Kluyveromyces lactis: one gene and its partners. The protein of the gene in region 1 interacts with the protein of each later gene in a pairwise test. Links are inferred from orthologs where the notes say so. Each region holds a gene or a part of one and is shown on either strand. Other genes may lie near its edges.

Region 1 (5,614 bases):
TCACTTAGAATAATAATAAGAACCCTTGATGGATACAAAACTTCTTTTCTTGTCAAGTTCACAGAGACACCAGTTGGAGGAACTTTGCCACCCTTCAAGAGTCCCTCGATGATTTCAGTATTGAGGGATCTCGAATCTTCGAACATTTTGTATAGCTCATCATTAATTTGAGACATTAACGCTGAAACATCTTCAGTATTGAAGTTATTGTTTATGGAAACAACATTCAATTGTTTTGGAGAAGAGCCATCATTCAAAGTACTATTTGCCGAGAAGCGCCTGTTTTTTACCGGAGTAGCGTTGATGCCTCCTCCTACATATACACCAGAGCGCATAGAGGACTGTAAACGTGCAACTTCCTCCTTTAAAGAAAAAACTTCTTTTTTTAGATCGGCGTTTTCTGATTGAGATGTTAGAAGCTCATCTCTCGCGGATGTTAATTCTTCCAAAGTGGATGCAATTTCATCTTTCAAGTTCTTCTGCTTGTTGAGAAGTTCGTCAACTTCTGCCTTTGCAGAGATGATTTCTTCTTTTGCAGCAATCAATTGGTCGTTAACCTTTCCGTATTCTTCTTCGTGTATACTCTTTTGGTCGGCCAATGCCTTGGTATGACCTTCCTTTTCTTCCTCCAAAGAGCTTTTAATGTTTTCAGATTCGTTTAGAGATTTTTGCAAGTTTTCCAAACGTGAAACAAGTTCCTTATTTTCCTTTACCTTAGAAGCAAGAGATTCCGTCAATTCAATGACCTTGTTTTCAAGTTTATAACTGACTTCCTGTAGGTGATTAACGGATTTGGCTTCCGATTTTAGTTGTTTTAACTTTCTTTGAGCATAGTGCTTTCTAATGAAAGATTGGATGACCACGGTGCCCTTCTTCTCATGTAGGAAACTTTTTCTTGGTTGGAAAGATCTTACGCTCTTTTGAATCGTAACAGCGGCATCGCCTCTGCGCCTTTCCAATAACTCTTTACAGGTAATTTGCTTTCTAGCCATGGATTGAATTCTAATGATGCTGATGATTATACTGGAAACGTTATCCCTCACAGAAATACCTCTATAGGCACTTTGAATCAATAGAGCTGCATTATTCTTGAATTCGTTCTCAGTTCTTAATCTTATGATCTTACCACTAACGTTTGCCTGTAGCCTTTTGATTGCATCGACAGTCCGTAGATATGTTTTACGATAGTGAAGACCCTTAATTTTTTTCTGGATCATGACAGAGGATGAGAATAACTTATCGGTTCTTAGCTTTTCCAAATGTGCTAGCATACCAGCTTTGAAGAAAATTTTTGTATTACCAGCCTGATACTTTGCAGTATCATCCATTGTACGTTTCAGGATCTCCTTACATAAGTTCTTTACATCTTCTTCAGATGGATCCGATAGTAAAATATTTGACCAAAGCTCTGATGGTACTAATATATGGTATCTGAGGGCAAACTCTGTGTATGTCCACCTCGATGGGAACCCTGCACAAGAAATTCTAATTGTTTCCAAGACACCACATGCTCTAAGCTGTGACAAAACCATAAGATTGTCAAACTTCCATGCTTCTTTGTCTTCGTTAGGTTTGATACAACGAATGTAGTGAACGTTAGTGGAGTTGATAGTTTCCATAAGATCGATCAACGATTGTTTAAACATAGATCCTAGAGTTGGTTTTCTTACGATTTTTCTTGAGGCTGGACCGGGTTTCTTTTGACTTTCTTGCTTTTGGGCTTGTTTCTCTGCCAATTTTTCCGCATTTTTGTCAACAGTTTCCAAAATAGATAGTAAAGTTTCGTTGTTAGAAGCCTTTAACACTTCAAGATGTCCATCAGAAACTGTATCTCTATTCTTTTCGATAAATCCGTCTACATCATAAGTGACGTCCAATGCATAATGGCTAACAATAAATTGAGTTTGGCCGAATCTTGGTTTGGAGAATACTTCATTAGTTGGAGGTTTATTCAAAGTTTCATATAGTTTATGCGTCCATCCTTCATCCGTACCAGCAGGTAATCTTGATTCTTCGTCTAATAATGATAAAATACCAACTTTGTTCTCAATTAAGTCAATACACGGTTGATTATCGTTGAACTCGATAAACGACCATTCAATCTGTTCCTTTACGTACTCCTCTTGTTCTAGTTTGAAAACATGTTGGTTGAACTCTTGTTGCAACTTTTCGTTAGCGTAATTGATACAGAACTGTTCGAAAGAATTCTTTTGGAAATGTTCAAAACCATAGATATCCAAGACACCGATAAAAGTATATATCTCGCTTACCACTTCAGGGTTACATAGCACGGTGTTTATGTTGTCCACTAACCAATCGAATAATGCTGAATATATGAATTTCGCCACAGAATCACGAGAAACTATGGCTTGGTGGTAAGGTAGGGATGAGACGATCTTTTCAGACCTGGTAACGATCTGTTTCTTCGTTACCCATTTAGCGAAATCAAAAGCGTCTATACCTAACAAATCTGCCGCTATTTGTAGGTTTGGTTCATCAGATGACAAAGAAGCATCATTTCTGACCTTTTTAACTTCGATGTTACCAATATGAAGAAGGGCCGCCAAGATTTTAAACAGCTGGAATTGAGTATCCTTTGAGATACCAACCAAACTCAATGCTTCCACAGTATCACCGTATTCAGAGGCGTCATCGACACCTTCGATATGAGAGTCACCGCCCTGATTCATATAATGGTAGTCTTGTATGTCTGTAAGTTTCAACTGAGATTTTTCATCGTCGGATAAACCTGATAATATTTGATAGAAAATGTGGTAATTCCTTTCAGTTTTCGGTTGGAAAACCAACCTAGAACGTTCCAACAAATATGTTCTCACTCTGGCACCAATGATTGAAGTATCGTCATCGAAGAGAATTTCCAAATATTTACCGAATCTGGAAGAGTTGTCATTCCTAATAGTCTTAGCATTACCGAATGCTTCCATGATTGGATTAGTGGCCAATATCTTCTTTTCAGTTTCAGACATTTCCAAATTATGATGTGCGTTTTCCTCATTATTTTCTTCCACACTAGCGAAATATCTCATAATATATTTAGCCGAAACAGTCTTACCTGCACCGGATTCACCAGAAACGATGATTGTTTGGTTCTGATCTGTTGTCTTCATCAACCTATACGCTTCCTCTGCGATAGCAAAAAGATGTGGTTCCAATTCACCTCTAAGTTTCCCTGCATATGCCTGGATCATCTCCTGAGAATATAGTTGATCCACACGATCAAAGGGATTTGTGGCAATGAGCACGATCCCTGAATAAGTATAGATATTCAACTGGGCATATCTGGCCTTAATAGCATGTAAAACTGCCGGTTCATTCAAATATGACAATGACGTCAAATCCTCCGTAGTCTCAAGGATTGGAGGGTTCCTAAGTAGGGGTAAACTAGGCTCTTTGGTTTCATCTAAAGAAGACACTAAAAGCTCTACTTTCTGTCCATCCTCCAAAGTCAATTCCAAATTATAGGAATCTCCCTGCAAGGTATGTTTAGTAACTTCAGCACCGATCCATCCTTGATCTTTGCTGGGATACCAGCAGCGAGTCCCGACTTCGTACGGCATCCTATGCTGATTAACGCTTAAAACCTGAAATCTAAGATCAAATCAAATAACCAATAATTGAATCAGAAAAAGCCAACGAGCACTCAATTGAATCTGCAATGACACACGGCAATTAAAATCAAAACAGTCTCCTATTGCTTCGTACTGCTAGTCACAAGGATACACGGTGTCAGATGCCTCGCTCCCTGTATTTTCCGCTCTACTCTTCTCCTGAAACTCGTGAATCTAAATAAAACACATATAAATCAAATAAGATATATATTTGTTGTTCAAAAGATCCCACTTTTTTTTTGTTTTTTTTTTTTCCCTTCTGTTGTCCCAAGAGCTTTTTAAGTGGACTAAACAAATAGCAGGGATTCAACCTTTCGCGTCAGCGCGCCAGCAACGGATAAGCATGCAGTGAGGTAAACTTGTAGGGATATTTTCGCCTTGGTGGGGCGAATATTTGCTTATGGGGCCTCAAATTAGCCTTTTAAAAGGGTGATTTTTAGTCACGTGTAAATCACATGCACTATCCGGGTAATAGCGTTCCTGGTTCGTCTCTTCATCAGACAATTTCTATTCCAACATGAATAGAGGAAGTCGGTAGGTGGAGATAAGGCGCAGCTATCAAATAAGAATTAGATAGCAGCCTGGTTTCATTTCGTGGCGAGTAAAGACGAAAATATTTCATGGAATGAGGTTTTAGAGTTGAAATATTTTTGCTGAGGAGATTACTTTGTGAATAGGAACTTTAAACTCAAACTCAAACTCAAAAATTCGAAGTCTAATGGAGGTTAGCCATCGTGAACATACCAACCATATTGGATCCCAGGTTAACCCTTTGTTCCGCGGGTCCGTATTTCATAAGAATGATGCCGCAGATCTACGAGTCCCTTGGGATGGGAAACGTCGTAAATCTGGTGCTTCGATCAATTCTAAGACTCAGATGGGGGATTTGACCGAATTCAATCCGTCTCATCATGCCAGTAATAAAAACATTTACCATGACGATATTACGTGTGGTTCTTTAAGGTTTAGTGATGCGTTATTAGATGGCTCGTTCAAATGTCAGGATGAGCATTCTAGCAATAGATCTGGACATATGGCTAGTAGTAAACCGGGGAGCGGTAACAGTAGTCTGGGTCTTCTAAAAAATCAATCATACTCTAACATATCAATTTCCTCCACTCAATCATTTAAGAAAACGCACACGAAACTGTTAAATTTCTCTCAGTTGAAGCCCGACCTCACAACAGCATCGTCTTTTGAATCACAACCTTCTAAGGGCAACTCTTTGGCAAGACAGTTTCTTGAGACCGCTTCAAAGGCAAAATGCAACAGAGAGATAATACCGACCTTATTTTATTCCCCATCTGCCAACAGCTGCGGTGATACTTCTGGAGCGCTTGATTATTTGTCATCAGGGTTTACTGACAAACTTTTCCCCATATTTAACTCTAAGGAAACTGATCCAAAGGACATGAAGATAGACGTAGATTGTAAAGATATACCAGAGTATTTTGCAATGGATTACATCAAACATATACACAGAGATTTGACGGCATTGGAATTTCGTCTAAAACATTTCCTTATGAAAGTTATCTTACCGCAAGAGATGGATTTTACTCAGAACATCAACCATGTATCCAACCTTTCTAAATCAGTTACACAACTCCACATGGACATTGAAAAAATTAAACATGATACCAAAGATATATATTTGGAAAAATTGGCAGCCGCGTTCAACGGGTCTGATTCAGAATCTTTCGTCAGTAAACTTACCACACTAATGGACTCGCATGTTTCTCGATTACAGGCACTAGAAGGGAAAACTGTTGATTTCCAGAACGAATTGGAAGCTAAAAAGCTGCAACTTCGTAAGTTAGAGAATCTGATCAAGTTAAATGACATGATCGGCGACTTCAAAAGGAACATGAAATTATCTGAAAAGTTGAAAGAATATTATGGTACATTTGGTGATGTGACTGTGTTAGCCCTATCGATATCGTTAATAATGTATTTATTTAGGCGCTGGTTCGCCTCAGAATAAGACG
Region 2 (4,224 bases), on another chromosome or scaffold:
TAAATTTCCGTCTAGCAGAATTGGAATCACTAGCGGATCTGCATGGAGTTGATGTCGACTTTTCGAGTTATTCTGTCGATTCACCATTCATGATAGTTACCTTGGAAAATGATAAGCAAGCCAGTGATTGGATTAGGAGATCGGTGCTTACAAGAGCCATTTATGAGTACTGGGGTGAAGGTAATACTTATGAGTCGTTGCACAAGAGTGTCCAAGCTCATCCCGAGTTTGAACAGTATAAGAGCGCAAATGAAAGAAAGAGTTTCAAGTTTGAATTTGAAAAGTTTGGTGGTAACGCGAAACAGGATATTTCTACGAGAGTGACAACCATTGAATCTTTCCAGTACCTTGAGTTGAAGGGACCCATCAAAATGAAAAATCCGGATGAAGTTTTTACGGTTATTGAAGAATACAAAGCTATCAGCGAAAATATCGGGGGTGAGGTTCCAGAAAAGATCTATTTCGGAAGGTTAATTCAACTAAGCGATCGTGCACGGGGTGCACTAGAGAAGTATGACTTGAAAAAGAGACCTTACAAAGGAACCACATCATTTGAAGCTGAATTATCACTGGTAAGTGCAAATATTGCACAGGTAAAACCAGCACATATAATGTATGATCCATTCGTTGGTACTGGTTCATTCCTGGTGGCTGGTGGCCATTATGGTGCTCTTGTCTTAGGGTCTGATATTGATGGTAGGATGATCAGAGGGAAGGGACAACAAACTATCAAGGCAAATTTCAAGTATTATAAAGAGTCTATCCAATTCCTGGACGTCATGACAATGGATTTTACGCATAATGCATTGAGAAAGGACTTTGTCATTGATACGATCCTTTGTGATCCTCCATACGGTATTAGAGAATCGATTAAAGTTCTTGGAGCAAAGGATCCGGAGAGATTTGCTGGGAAAGAGGATGTGGAAATTAACGGTCAAAAAGCTTATCTACTTAGAGACTATATTCCAACTAAAAAACCGTACTCTTTAGATTCCCTATTAGACGATTTGTTGGATTACGCAAGTCAAAGACTCCCCATTAATGGTAGATTGGCTTTCTGGATGCCCACTGCCAATGACGAGAATGTTGCAACTATAATTCCTCTTCATTCGAATTTGGAACTGAAGTATAACTGTGTTCAAGATTTCAATAAATGGTCTAGAAGATTATTGGTGTATATCAATAGAGGACACGAATTTAATGGACCCAACAATTCTGGTTTGAGTAGAACTGGTAATTTCAGAGATAGATACTTCAGCGGGTTCAATTGATATTATTGGACCTGATATAAGGCTAATAATAGACATCTGCTCACTCTAGCATTACACTATAATATGTATCATTAGTTAAAATACAAATTAATATTTATAAAATCGATATTATTACATTTATTATACACAAAGTTACAATGACTGACAATATTATACAATATTATACATATTCCTTGCATATCATCTTCCACTGCCAATACTTGGTATCATGACGCTATAACTTGAAATTCATTACTAAGTGCAGCAGGAACTCGTGGAGCCTGGGTTTGAACCATCGTCGTTTTGGTTATTCAATGGTTTATTCAAATCCACAGTTTTGGATTTATTCTTCATTAATCTCTGTCGCACGCCACGGGGAGTGCCTGGAATATCCTCCAAACTACTTTCACTATCTTCTGATTGGTCTGATGAAATTACTCTAAGCTCTCTGTCATCCTCATAACACCCGCTTTCTACCAAATCTTTAATAATAATATTGAATGTCCTTTCTACCACATTCTCCCATTTACAACTAACTTCAAAGTTACCTGATATTTTTATATTATAATCTTTCTCAATCCTGGAAATGAACTGAAGTACGTCTTCATGCGTAACTTTCCTTTCCTTATATAAATCGAGTTTGTTCCCCACTAGATAAAACCGTGTCATGCTCAAATTAGGAATATTCTCAATGGATTCAACCAACCAGAAGTTCAAGCAATTCAGGAAACTATTGAAGTCACATATATCATAACTTAAAATCACTCCATTAGATCCTTTATATAATGAAGAAATCATAGCATTCCTATATCTCTCTTGTCCAGCAGTGTCCCACATAATAACTCTGAAAAATCTATTGTCTATATTCACCAAATTTGTCTTTATATCTATCCCAATGGTCGAAGTAGTATTAATCTCAAAATCAGAATCATCAGCCATCGGGGAATTTTCGAAATCATTCAAAGAGTACCTCTTCCGTTTGGCAATACTCTTAACCCTATTTAGTTCAGATTTCGAGAAGCCATTACTTCCTGCAGGAGAGTTGTCGATATTTTTTTTGAAAGCTTTTGTACTTATCCTAGGTAGTTCATTGCAATATGATAATATCATTGCCGTTTTTCCCACTCCGGCGTCACCTATAAGTAATAGCTTGATATTAGATGAATCTGTCAAAGAATCGAAGGAAATATTTCTAGCATCATTGGGATTGATCCTTAGAAAGGAATGTCTAGATTGCTGTCCGGTAGGATTTCCATTGCTCAACCCCAGTCCCACAGAAGCCGTTGGTGGTGCTGAAGAGAAAAACCTTGGTTCTTCGGGAATTGTCGGTGATGAAGGCGCACTGATTATTAGAGAGCGACGTTTACGAGAAGTCATTACTTATACACTCATAAATGCAAAAAAAAAAAACACAAAACACAAACACACGCCAACTTCTACTGAGTGAATATTAGACTCTTCTTATGCAACGTATTCCTGGTAACTAACTCCAGGTGTCGTAATTTACTTCGAATTTGAAACACACAGGACCCTAAACACCAACACTATTAATCAAATAAGATAGGAAGAGAGGATTGGATGGACAATCGATATAAGCCTTCGTTCAATTATTAACTCAGTTCCATACACCAACGAACAATACCCTTCAAACCCTTGGTGAACCATGAGTTTACCGATAAGAAAGGAGATTCGTTCCCAATCCTGGTTCTTTGTATGTTAGCTAACGGCCTTTCGATTGGATATTTATTTTTTCGAAAATCACCAGAGAAACTGCACAGACAAAAGTTTAACCTTTGATTCGAAGAAAATGCGTGAAGTCAATGAACTGAGCTTGACTTCTTATATATAGCATTTGCGGTTATTCCTGTTACTGCCACTATCGTTTGTAAATTGGAACCACATAATACCGGATATTAAATCTTCGGGTTACTGCAGGAGAAGTAATATGTATTTTTATAGTACGGTTTATGACAGGTCAACGAAATAAAGGATTGAATAAACCTGAGCATATGAGTTCATTCGACAAGGCGGGTTAAAAGTAGTTGAGTTGGCTTGTTCACTGATTTGACCCGACTTTAAACTGACATCAGAAACCTTACCGGAAAACGTTGCTCCTTTTGACTGTGCGGGTTGGTTCGAGCATTGTTTTTTTGGCCCTCTAGACAGGTGACACGACGTTTTTCCGGATTACCGAAAGAGCAACTAGTTTTTCTTGAAAGTGTATATAAGAAGAGGAACCAATTGTCCATTGCCAAATAGGACACGAATCAAGTTCATCTTGAATTAGAGAAGGTAGATCGTTTTCAATTTGTATCTTTCGAAAAGCTTTGCAATTCAAAATCCTTCGAACCCCATCCACAAGTCAAATTGAAATATATATTATGAGCACCGACATTCCAAGAGTCTTTTCCACCGGTGACAAAGGTACCTTTGGTCAATTCACCGCTGAAGTACGTTGGCCAACCATCTTGCAGAACGCTTATGATGACTTACAACTGGCAATAAATGAAACGAATAGTCAATTAGCTAAAGAACAAGGTGAAATTATCAAGAAACAGATTGCTGGATTGAAACAAGATGTTGAAAATGATGCTAAACCTACTCTTTTACCTGAACAATACAAGGACTTTAACGAAATTTTGAAAGAAAATGACGGTCAGACATGGTTGAACGGCGATTGGTTGTTCTTAGAGATTTTATTGTACAGAAAGGTTAATATTTTTTTCAGGGAACAATCTGAATGGGATGACTTTGACATCTTTCAACGTTTGAAGACATCCACGTTTGAATCTTCGAAAAATGGTGTTCTTGATCTAGCAACTTACTACCATGGTGTGATAGAAAAATTTAACGGCAATGAAGATGCTATCCCACCTTTATTCCAAGAATTTATTGAAATCTCTTTGTGGGGTAATGCGACCGATTTGTCCTTGTTGGCTACTGCCACATTGGACGACATCAATGCCATTCAAAA
Region 3 (5,277 bases), on another chromosome or scaffold:
TTACCGACAGGTTTCTCCGTAAATGTCAATATCGATATTTTCGTAAACCAAATGAAGAAGGCTATAGCTATTGTACCAGACAAGATACCCGCTAGTAAAGGTGAGTTAAGTATAGGGTGTCTCTTGGAAAGAAGGTACGATGGAACAACGAGTCTTGATAGAACTAAGCCAGAAATAACCAATACTATTGTATTGATCAAGAGCGCAATGAAGAAAGTTATTTTAGAAAAGATGTAAAACACTAATGGAATCAAAACCCATGGCAAGAAGAATGTTAGCATTTTCCCAGTACTAGCAGAAAAATATTGGGGCAAAGGGAATCCATTTTTATCGAATCCATTCTTGTACAAAGATGCTTCAAGGCTGCCAATAGAATACAATTCTTTCCCTATTGTGAAGCAGTTTTTACCATCGTTGGTAGTCTGGAAGAAATCTGATCCATGTTTAATCAAGAGATCCATAACAGGAATACTTCCCTTCACAGTACCCCAATGTAAAGCAGTAAAACCAGCATCATCTGCGTTCTTGACATCTGCGTTAAACTTAAGTAGATTTTCCACAGTCAACGCATCTGCCTGGTAAGTGGCCCACTGCAATGCAGTTCTTTGGTGCGGATCTGGTTGATCCACATCCTCTTTCCCATCAACGACGAAAAAAAGGACATATATCACTAACATGATATTGGATGAGAAAACGCTTGTATGAAGTAAATTGTAGCCCTGGCTATCGGTAATATTAGGATCTGCACCGGCTTTCAAGAGCTCATCCACAATGTACACTAAACCGGACTTGGATGCCCAATGTAGAGGCGTCGCGTCAAGTTCGCCGCCTTTAAAATTTACTTCTGCACCTGCACCAGCTAGATACTTAACTGCAGACAATCTGTTGTTAATACATGCCCAATGTAGTCCAGATACACGTTCCTTGGGGTCATAATCATTCGATAAATCAATCACTTTCGATTCCACCATTTCGCGTAGAGTTTTCATATCACCTTGTTTGCACGCTGCATGATACCTCTCAAGAATCGGATCTTTCTCAACACTACCCAAATCACGCTCCTCACCTTGATCATTTTCGTGCTTAAGCTCGCTAGAAGCCCTGGATATAACTGCCTTCATTGAATCCAATGATACAACCTCATTCTCATTCTCATTCTCATTCCCAAGTTCAATTGCGTCATAATCCGATTTAACATCTTCTATTGCAGGATCTGATTCCTTATCGACCTCTTCAGCTGTCATAATATGTAAGCTGTCTTTCGGTTTAGTATTTAAGCAAGTTGATGGTTATAGACAGTATGGTTAGCTCAGGTCCTTTATGTAGCTTTTTCTTTGATCGTTGGTTTAAGTATTTAAAAGTGTTTGGTTAAATCGGGCTATAGGCTTTTTTTACATTTTGAGCAGTCTATCCAGCCTCATTCCCGTTGACAAATATAGGCTGAGATGAGATATAAAAGGATGTACAAATCGCATACTGCTATACCTTGTTGATTGTTCTATATATCAATTGATTAGAGAAAGTATTTCTTTCGATAATTCTGGTGTTAATGGATCTTTTTGAGATGGAGTATTACGATATTTTTGCAATTCTTTTACAAATTCTTCATCATTCTTGACACATGCGACAGCATGCGCATTGGCGTTGAAGATAGATGACAAGAGTACGAGTAATCTTATCCTGAGGTCTGTATCCGTGTTTTGTGTTTTAAAGACTCTTATTGCTGTTTCGATAAGGTTTCGCTTCTCAGATAGTTCTTTGCAAATGAACGGAACGGTGCTTGCAATATTGGCAAATATGGCAGCAACGGCTCTCTGAGATTGTATATCGTGAAGTTCGAGAAGCTTGACCAGTATTTCGAAATTCTGTGCACTCTTAGGGTTTTCAAAGCAGAAGAACTTTGCAGAGATAGCCATTGGATTGGACATTAAATTGGAAATAAGTTCTAATGTCGATCTTTGAATTCTGACCGATGAATCCAATAAGAGATTCTCTATACTATCCCAATACTGAGCATTACTCAAGATGATTTTGCCGAGATCTACTCCCTGGTTTATAGTAGCCAAATTTGTCAACGCTAATAATGCTTCGTAAGTATCTAATTGTGTGAATTGAAGTTCCGATAAAGCGTTGTCATTTGGTAAAGGTAAATTTTCAAATAAGAACGGTGCTGCGCTCAACGGTGAATATTTGCTGAACGCAGTCTCTGGATTCACATAGATGAGTGTTTTCGATAGTGCTCTTATCGATAGAAGATACCATTCATCTTTAGAAAGGTTCCTTTTTTGTGCTAAAAATACCAAGAGCATCAATCCAGCACCCTGTTTCACACATTCTGATATCTGTGTTTTATCTCTTGTCACATTATATATGATTCTTATGGCTTGATTGTAAGATGAGGTGGATAGTTTTATCGATTTTAAAGAACCGATCAAGTCTAAATCGATAATATAATCACGGTTAAACTCTTCTATGTCCTTAACATTTTCCAATGTCGGCTCGTCATTCTTTTCTTGGTTGGTTTTCAATGAAGCTTTTAATTTATCGACTGTATCCTCATTCTGTGACGGGTGCTCACTTACGTTTGCTAATATAATCAAGAGTCCGTATAGATCAGTCGGTGTAGTGTCCTGTGACTTGATCAGCTCGATTATTTTCAAACATACATCACCGTTACCTCGTAGCAAGACTCTGACAGAGGGCTTCAATGTCAAGTAAGCTAAAGCTTCAGTATTAATCTCGATATTTTCGCCATTCGAAAGCGAGTCGATGAAAAGGTTGATGCAAGAGTTAAGAGTTTCCTTTTCTATCTTAGTGAATGACCAGATCTTGATCAAAACCAACGCAGTCAGTACTTTATACTTCTCGACCTTAAATGATTGTTGTAACGTCTTAAGGTAATGCTCTGCAATGAATCTTCTGACTGCTTCGTCAATACAGGAAACAGCCAAGAGACGAAGAGCCCCGTTTACAAGATGTTCATCATCCGCTGAAGAATTCAAATTCCTAGTCAATATGTCCTGGAAATCTGTCGAAAGAAACATGTCTCTACAAACGCCAAGGCAGATAGGGAACACCAAAGACATAGCATCTACAAGCAAACGTAAAGAAACATTGCCAGAATCTTCCTCGGCTTCAATTAACAATTGTTGTAGTATATTCCCACACTTCTGCTCCGTATTATCTGAATGGTTGGACATCAACGATTTCATCGTTACAAGAAGTAATGGCCGTATCTCTTGTATGCTACTTCTTAAAAGTATTCTTCTGCAAAGAAACTCCAATTGACCCCAATCCTTCACATAACCGGCAAGCATCGGCACACACTTCCAGCATCGTGTTTCCTCGCCATTGTTATGTATCTCTGAGGTCCAGTTTTGAATAACGTGCAACAAATCCGTCACGTCCTTCGGAGATGAACATCTTTCTTTCAATACACTTTGAGCATCGGCACTATCACTGCCAACAATTCTATCCCAAACTTTATTCATAGCGTTGATATCTTTATTGAATTACAAAAAGAATAAATTCACAGAATTGAACTATCGGTACCAGCCCAAACAACTGTATGTTAGATCGGGTTTAGTTATCTCTGGTTTCGAACCCTATGATTAATCAAATAAAACTTCATTTCTCCAATTGATCAATTTCAACCATCTAACATCTTCAAAAACGAATAAGAACACAAACTGACGAGAGACAAGCAATGGCACCAGACATGAAGTTCCCATTTGCTGATGCACCTAGTATAGTTCAGGCGCATCAAAAGGATGATACTGTGGAAAACTTGCTGTTACAAAAGATCCAGGATGTACTACGGAAAGTTAAGGGACAACAGTTCACTAACAGGTATGTTAGTGAGATAATGATCCTCAGCAAGTTGATATACTTGTCAATTACAACACTAAGGTATAGGAGAACGCTTGGAGAAGAGTACGTTGATTTGGCGTATGTTGATAGGCGAGGAAAAGGTGTTGCGAGACTCCTGCGAAGGATTGGTTTCGCTATCAGTTATTGTGGGGTACCGTGGATATTATCGAAAGTATTCTACAAGTATAAGCTCAATGAGAGGGGATCTGGTTTCTTGAAAGTATTCAATGGCAAGAGTTTCAGGGACATCTTGGATTCCACTTTGAATTTGCACTTAATTATATTCTACTTGAGCGGACAGTATTATGATATCTCAAAGAGAATATTTGGAATGAGATATGTGGTTGGCCATGAAATGAACAAGAATGAGGTAGAATTCAAGAAGAAGTCATCGCAAAACTACAAGATTCTTGGTTTTATACTTGGTATGCAATTAGCTTCTAAGCTTTTACCGCAGATTGCAGAATACATCGCTGACAGAATTGGAACAGATGATGGGAAGAGCCACAAGAGTTTAAGTGCATTAGCTAAAAAACACACCTCAAAAGATCTTAGCGATCTAGAAGTCCTACCTTTCATCAAAGAGGATTCACGTAAGTGTGTTTTATGTCTTAACTATATGCTGGATCCCAGCGCGACTCCGTGTGGTCACCTTTTCTGCTGGGATTGTATCATGGAATGGACGTTAGAAAGACAGGAGTGTCCATTATGCAGGCAAAGGTGTCCGAGACAGCTGACGATACCTGTTAGATAAAGCTTAGAAGAATATCTAAATGTTTCAGCGAGCTTTCTTGTATTATTAAAACAATCTGCTGTATATAACGGGGTTAAATCTATATGCCAATATGGAACAGTAGTTGTTTTTGTTTGCTCTTTTTCTTACTACCACTAGCTGGTAATGCATTGTCTAACGAATCCAAGTTGATAGAATCGTTGTCGTTTTGAGGCTTACCCCAAGTGGATGGGTTTGGTATGGTAGTCTGTTTCACTGGAGGTGCAACAAATTTTTTCTTAGTAGCTTGTAACTTGGGGAAGCTGGTTGGATTAGGTGATTTGATAGCTGTCACATTCGGTTGTGAATTCACTACAACGGTTGAAGAACCTGGCGGTGATTGATTCTTCTTCGCATAGTTTAAAGAAGTTGATGACGATGAATTGGAAGTCAAACCGCTCCTAATAACTGGAGAGGACGGTGAAGAAGAGCCATTTTTCCGCAAATTAGTATACGAGGCTTTGGAGGAGAATATAGGTTCGGATACAGCTGGTAGAGACGTGAACTTCACGTTCGACCCGCCAACACCAGAAGAACTCTTTTTACCCCATTTACCATAAACTACGTTAACCGAAGATGATGAATCGGCGACGAGAGGTTTGAATTTCCCTGCATTCTCTTTCTTCTTCATAATG
Region 4 (5,022 bases), on another chromosome or scaffold:
ACAGCCTTTTTTTATTAAAAATGGTATTGGCATTTCTTCCGTTTGATAGAGTAGCATTTGCAAAACCAAAGAAATGAAGTAAACGGTTGATATCCCGGTTTGTCTGAGTTTTGGAGAGAAAAATAAGCATTCGTTATTAATGCAAGTGCGGATGCATTATTGTTTACCATATTCTTCGTCCAGTTCCTAGAAACACCCGGAAAGCATTTTAAATGACAATAGAACCATGCCAGAGCTTATGTGAATATCCGGTGCTCAATTATCCGTAAATACCTGAGTTTCCTCCGGTATTAAGGAATACAGAATTAAAGCTCTAGCTGTGAAGCTAATTGTCACTTTTGAGCATTTGTCAGAAAAGCAAGGACGTACCTTTACGGTTGATAGAGTGTTTATTCGGTGGCGTATTATTAACAGACAATAGCTTATGTAATCACCTTAATTTCTTATTAAATTGCATATAAAGGGACAATCGTAGAGAATACTACCACCGACGAGTTATGTGATGGCATTTCTGTATGTTCATGAATCATTTATCTTTCCCCGTTGAGTGTGCTTCGTAGGTTGACAAGAGTCATTAACTCATATAATAATTCTGTCTGAAAATGACCAAGGTTCTAATTGCATTAACATGTTACAACGATACGTTTTACGCTGATGGTACGAAGACCGGTGTCTTTGTTGTGGAAGCGCTACACCCTTTCAATTATTACAAGGAACAAGGTTATGACGTCGACTTTGTTTCAGAGACTGGTAAGTACGGTTTCGATGAGCACTCTTTGTCAGCAGACTTCTTAAGCGGCAAAGACAAGGAGCAATTCGAAGACAAGAACTCTGCGTTCAACCAAGCTTTAGCCAAAACAAAGGTTGCTGCTGATGTTAACCCATCCACCTATAAAATCTTCTTTGCCTCTGCCGGCCACGGTACGTTATTCGATTATCCAACTGCCAAGAATTTACAAAAAATAGCCTCTGATATATATGCTAATAATGGTGTTGTGGCTGCTGTTTGCCATGGTCCGGCAATCTTTGATGGTTTGACTGATAAAGATACTGGTAAACCGTTGATTCAAGGTAAAGTTATTACTGGTTTTACCGATATTGGTGAAGAAATCCTAGGTGTTGCCGATATACTAAAACAAAAGAAGTTAGATACTGTGGAAGATATCGCTAAGAAGTATCATGCAAAGTACATGGCCCCAATTGGTCCATGGGATGATTTTTCGATTGCTGATGGTAGGTTAGTTACGGGTGTCAATCCAGCATCGGCTAGTTCAACCGCAAAGAGAACTGTTCAAGTATTGAATAGCCTTAACTGAATTCCCTTTAGTATTTTTAATGGAGTGAAATAATTCCTGTTAATTACGTCAGGCATTTTGTCAGTAGCTACTTTTGTATGGTTTATTATGTAAGCTAGATAATTACCTATTAACAAAGTTAGTTTATCCTGATTATTGTATTTATAGTGTTACAATGGAATGGACTATCTGGAGCTAGTCCGGAAGGCACTAAGATACATAGGATACGGGAAATTTCAGTTGGTGATTATCCTTTTTTACCCAGTTGGCATCGAAATTGAATAAAATAGTACGATGTGGAATGATTTTCTGTCTCTGGAAAGGAAGTCTGGGGATGCGTGTCGGGAGTTTACCGTACTGTTTCAATCTGTTAATATCATATGCTCGGGATTCAAGTGTTCCCAAAATGGACAGTTGTTGTTCAAAAGAAAGAGCAGGTACTTTGTTAAAGTTAAGTACCTTTTTTGGACTTAATTTAGTAGCTTGGCAAGGATCAAAAAATGGATTGGAATATCTGTGGCGGTCACATTTCACATTATCGCTGTTTGAATCATTTTCATCTCCTTCTCTTACCAAGACAGGTTTGATATTCATTTTCTTAAATAATATCGCCCCAATACTAGACCTGTTTGAACCTGGCTTCTCAGATGGTGCATCGTTGAGCCGAAGCTCGGAGATGTCATTGGAAAGCTGTGTGATAGTTTTATTTGGATCATTTTCATTTTGGTGTTCCGGCAGTAAGTGTTCAAATTTTGTATTTAATTGTAGCCACTTTTCCGCATGTTCGTTGGTAACGGTTGCAATTGATTCATTCAATATCGAGCTTTCAAGAGCATTGTATATTATACCGAAGGTCTTATCAATAGTGTACGATTTGCTTCTCAATTGATCATGCAGTTTTGTTTTCAGCTGCTCCGAAAGATCAGGGTTGCCTACCTTCAGCAGCAGTTTCTCCACATCTTTCAGCATAATCCGTAGCTCGTCATTCAAAGTTGTAAATATGAGAACCCATTTCTCATCAACAATTGCTTGCTTTAGGTCTCTGAGTTCAACTTGTAGTAGTTCATACTTATCCAATATATATTGGTATTTCTTTCGCAGCAATCGCATGAGATATTCCAAATTGACAACATCACGGGTCTCGAAGTTATCTAATCTTTCTGAAAGGACATGTTTTAGTGACAAATCTATAGGTGCCGAAGAATCTTCCAACTGTGTAAGCTTTTCATGAATCTTTTGCTCTGAAGGAGAAAAGGCAGGGATCTGAAGTCCTTTGGTAGGAGAATTTGTTGAAGACAAAGTTTTAATCAATTGATCCAAAGTGAAAGTAGGTTTATTATGTCTTACAGGAGATTCAAAGTTTTGCTCTTGAAGTTCAATGCATTTAGACAAATTGTTTTCTATCTCTTCATCTAGACTGTTCATATGATCTTTGAATATTTCGTTGAACTCTATGGCGGTGTCGAACAGGTTTTTTAATGATGAGATGATTGGTTTTATGGACACTAATGTATCTGATATCTCCTCTAATAAATCAAAAAGTGCAGTCAACTCCTTCTGGAATAGTTCATCTTCATTACACCCAAATTCCTCTTCGATGATTTCCATCAGATGCAGCAACACCTTTTCGATGGTCTTTATCCCGTTGAAGAGCTGATAAAATTCAGATCTTCCCTCTTGAATCCAATCAAAATACGGTAAGAGTTGAGAAACGCTCACATCATCAGAAAACAGCTCTGCCAACAGTGTATGAGACTTTAACAGTAATTCTGCCAGACTACACAAGTGCTGGTTGGTGCTATCCAAATCAAACTGATAATCATCAAAAAACAAAAGAATATCTTGATATTGCTGTGAATTACTCCTCAATGAGATAGATAGTCTCTCATGAGGAAATCCTTTCAGCTCCTCTGCCATAGTATAGAAGCTTGCTGAAGCACACCTAGTGTGGACAATGGATCTCTGCTTCTCTATCGCCTACTGTTTTTCCGTTTCGTAACCCCATGCCTTTGTTTACATTTTAACTAATCTTAATTATTGATGATTTCATTTGAAGTAACGGGAAAAGTTGCTTGGTAGATAAGGCACGTAGAGGTCAGGAAGCTTGCAACATCAAAAGATTAATGCTTAGATGACTTCCATGGAGAGCTGAAATTATATGAATATTAATATATTTGTTTGATTGGTACCTTGTATGTTGTTTATGTGTATATTTATATGTTAATAATACATAGTACCAACTCTGGTGCACTTGTAAGATACCTATGCAGTGTAAGAAAGGAAGGTGGGAAATTTCTTCAATTACTCATGGCCTGAGCGTTGAAGTTTTTTGATCGTGACTGATATCTTCTAAAACTTGATGTATAACTTCTTCTTGCAGTCTCTTCTCGTTCTGATCTTGTGAGTTTTCTTCGTGGTCAGAATTTTGATCTTCACCAGAATCATCTTTGCCATTTTCTTCTGTTTGTGGCTCAGATTCTTGAGTTATGGCAGGTGGAGCGTATTGTTGGTGCTGGGAATGCTGCTGTTCTGAAGGTTCTGTCAATAATTTGTGTAAAGCACTATCATGGTTGGCGTAAAGATCTTTGAACTTACCCATTTCCACAACTGAACCATCGATGCCAAGTACAATAACATTCTCGGATCTTCTGATTGTGCTCAATCTATGAGCAATGCTGATAATAGTTAATTCTTTGCTCTTCATTAACCTCCCCAAAGTGTAGTTGATAGCGCCCTCACTTTCAACGTCTAGGGCAGATGTAGCTTCGTCGAGAATCAAAATTTTAGGTTTATTTAATAACGCTCTAGCGATAGCAATACGTTGTTTCTGTCCTCCACTGAGCAAAGCACCACGAGGCCCAATGATAGTTTCGTAACCATTAGGGAATTTAGATATGAAAGCATGACAGAAGCACTTTTTTGCTACAGATCTGATTTCTTCCATTGAAGGTTGCCTAGAGACACCATATGTAATATTCTCTCTTATAGTACCAGACATTAATATTGGCTCTTGTTGTACCACACCAAGTTGTCTTCTAAGGGATTTCGAACTTAATTTTGTAATATCTTGGCCATCAACCAAGATTTTACCGGATGTTGGATTGTAGTACCTCAACAATAACGAGGCAATTGTAGATTTCCCTCTTCCTGATGGACCTACAATACATACATTAGAACCTGGCTCTATTGTAAAGTTGAGATCCTTAAAGATTTGATTTGTTTTTCTTGTTGGGTAACTGAAAGAAACATGCTGAAACTCAACTTTACCATTTAACGGTTTAAACGCCTTCCCGGTAGTTGATTTAATAGTAGGTTTGTAATCAAGCAATTCAAACAATCTCGTAGCTGCACCAGCACCCTTCATCAATTCCGAGTAAAAGGTGGAAAGACCAAATACTGCACTTCCAGTGTATTCAGTATAGAGCATGAACGCAGTTAAATCACCGATTGTAAGGTTTCCTTGTAAAACAAGATGCGATCCATAGGCCAATACCAGCAAAAATGAGAAATCACCCAACACATTTGTACTACTGAAAAAAGTCGCATTTGTGAAAGCTTCCTTCTTTCCAACATTAAATACCTGTCTTACAGCGTTGTTATAGCGATGCACTTCTTTCCCTTCTGCAACAAAGGATTGGACAGTTTTAATCCCGCTTAGTTGTTCCTCTGCGACTTTGGTAAGATTACCAGAGGCCTGTTGTAATTCTCTAGAGATTGCTCTAATCTT

Evidence for each region.
Region 2: the proteins of KLLA0_A03905g (region 1) and YPT11 interact in a two-hybrid assay, tested with the Saccharomyces cerevisiae proteins (6 studies listed by BioGRID, with this or other methods). The link is inferred for Kluyveromyces lactis from reciprocal best matches to the Saccharomyces cerevisiae genes MYO2 and YPT11.
Region 3: the proteins of KLLA0_A03905g (region 1) and SHE4 interact in binary tests that used the Saccharomyces cerevisiae proteins (3 or more experiments, as listed by UniProt). The link is inferred for Kluyveromyces lactis from reciprocal best matches to the Saccharomyces cerevisiae genes MYO2 and SHE4.
Region 4: the proteins of KLLA0_A03905g (region 1) and KAR9 interact in a two-hybrid assay, tested with the Saccharomyces cerevisiae proteins (4 studies listed by BioGRID, with this or other methods). The link is inferred for Kluyveromyces lactis from reciprocal best matches to the Saccharomyces cerevisiae genes MYO2 and KAR9.

Annotation. Positions count from the first base shown.
Region 1 is NC_006037.1:346,893-352,506, forward strand, and holds the start of KLLA0_A03905g (myosin family protein), read right to left. Parts: upstream 3,579-5,614; coding exon 1-3,578. Other genes in the region: FRT2 (Frt2p), read left to right, coding at 4,348-5,610. UniProt on the Saccharomyces cerevisiae protein: Myosin heavy chain that is required for the cell cycle-regulated transport of various organelles and proteins for their segregation.
Region 2 is NC_006039.1:1,089,298-1,093,521, reverse strand, and holds YPT11 (Rab family GTPase YPT11), read right to left. Parts: upstream 2,628-4,224; coding exon 1,506-2,627; downstream 1-1,505. Other genes in the region: TRM11 (tRNA (guanine-N2-)-methyltransferase), read left to right, coding at 1-1,271; KLLA0_C12859g (putative methyltransferase), read left to right, coding at 3,632-4,224.
Region 3 is NC_006041.1:1,480,719-1,485,995, reverse strand, and holds SHE4 (She4p), read right to left. Parts: upstream 3,492-5,277; coding exon 1,506-3,491; downstream 1-1,505. Other genes in the region: KLLA0_E16721g (uncharacterized protein), read right to left, coding at 1-1,244; PEX10 (ubiquitin-protein ligase peroxin 10), read left to right, coding at 3,707-4,624; E3 ubiquitin-protein ligase HEL2, read right to left, coding at 4,704-5,277. UniProt on the Saccharomyces cerevisiae protein: Required for mother cell-specific ho expression. Might be required for the transport of factors (such as ASH1) that promote HO repression from the mother cell into its bud.
Region 4 is NC_006040.1:66,239-71,260, forward strand, and holds KAR9 (Kar9p), read right to left. Parts: upstream 3,213-5,022; coding exon 1,506-3,212; downstream 1-1,505. Other genes in the region: KLLA0_D00704g (uncharacterized protein), read left to right, coding at 603-1,316; ATP-binding cassette permease MDL2, read right to left, coding at 3,601-5,022. UniProt on the Saccharomyces cerevisiae protein: Involved in karyogamy. Component of a cortical adaptor complex that orients cytoplasmic microtubules. It may be involved in anchoring cytoplasmic microtubules to the cell cortex.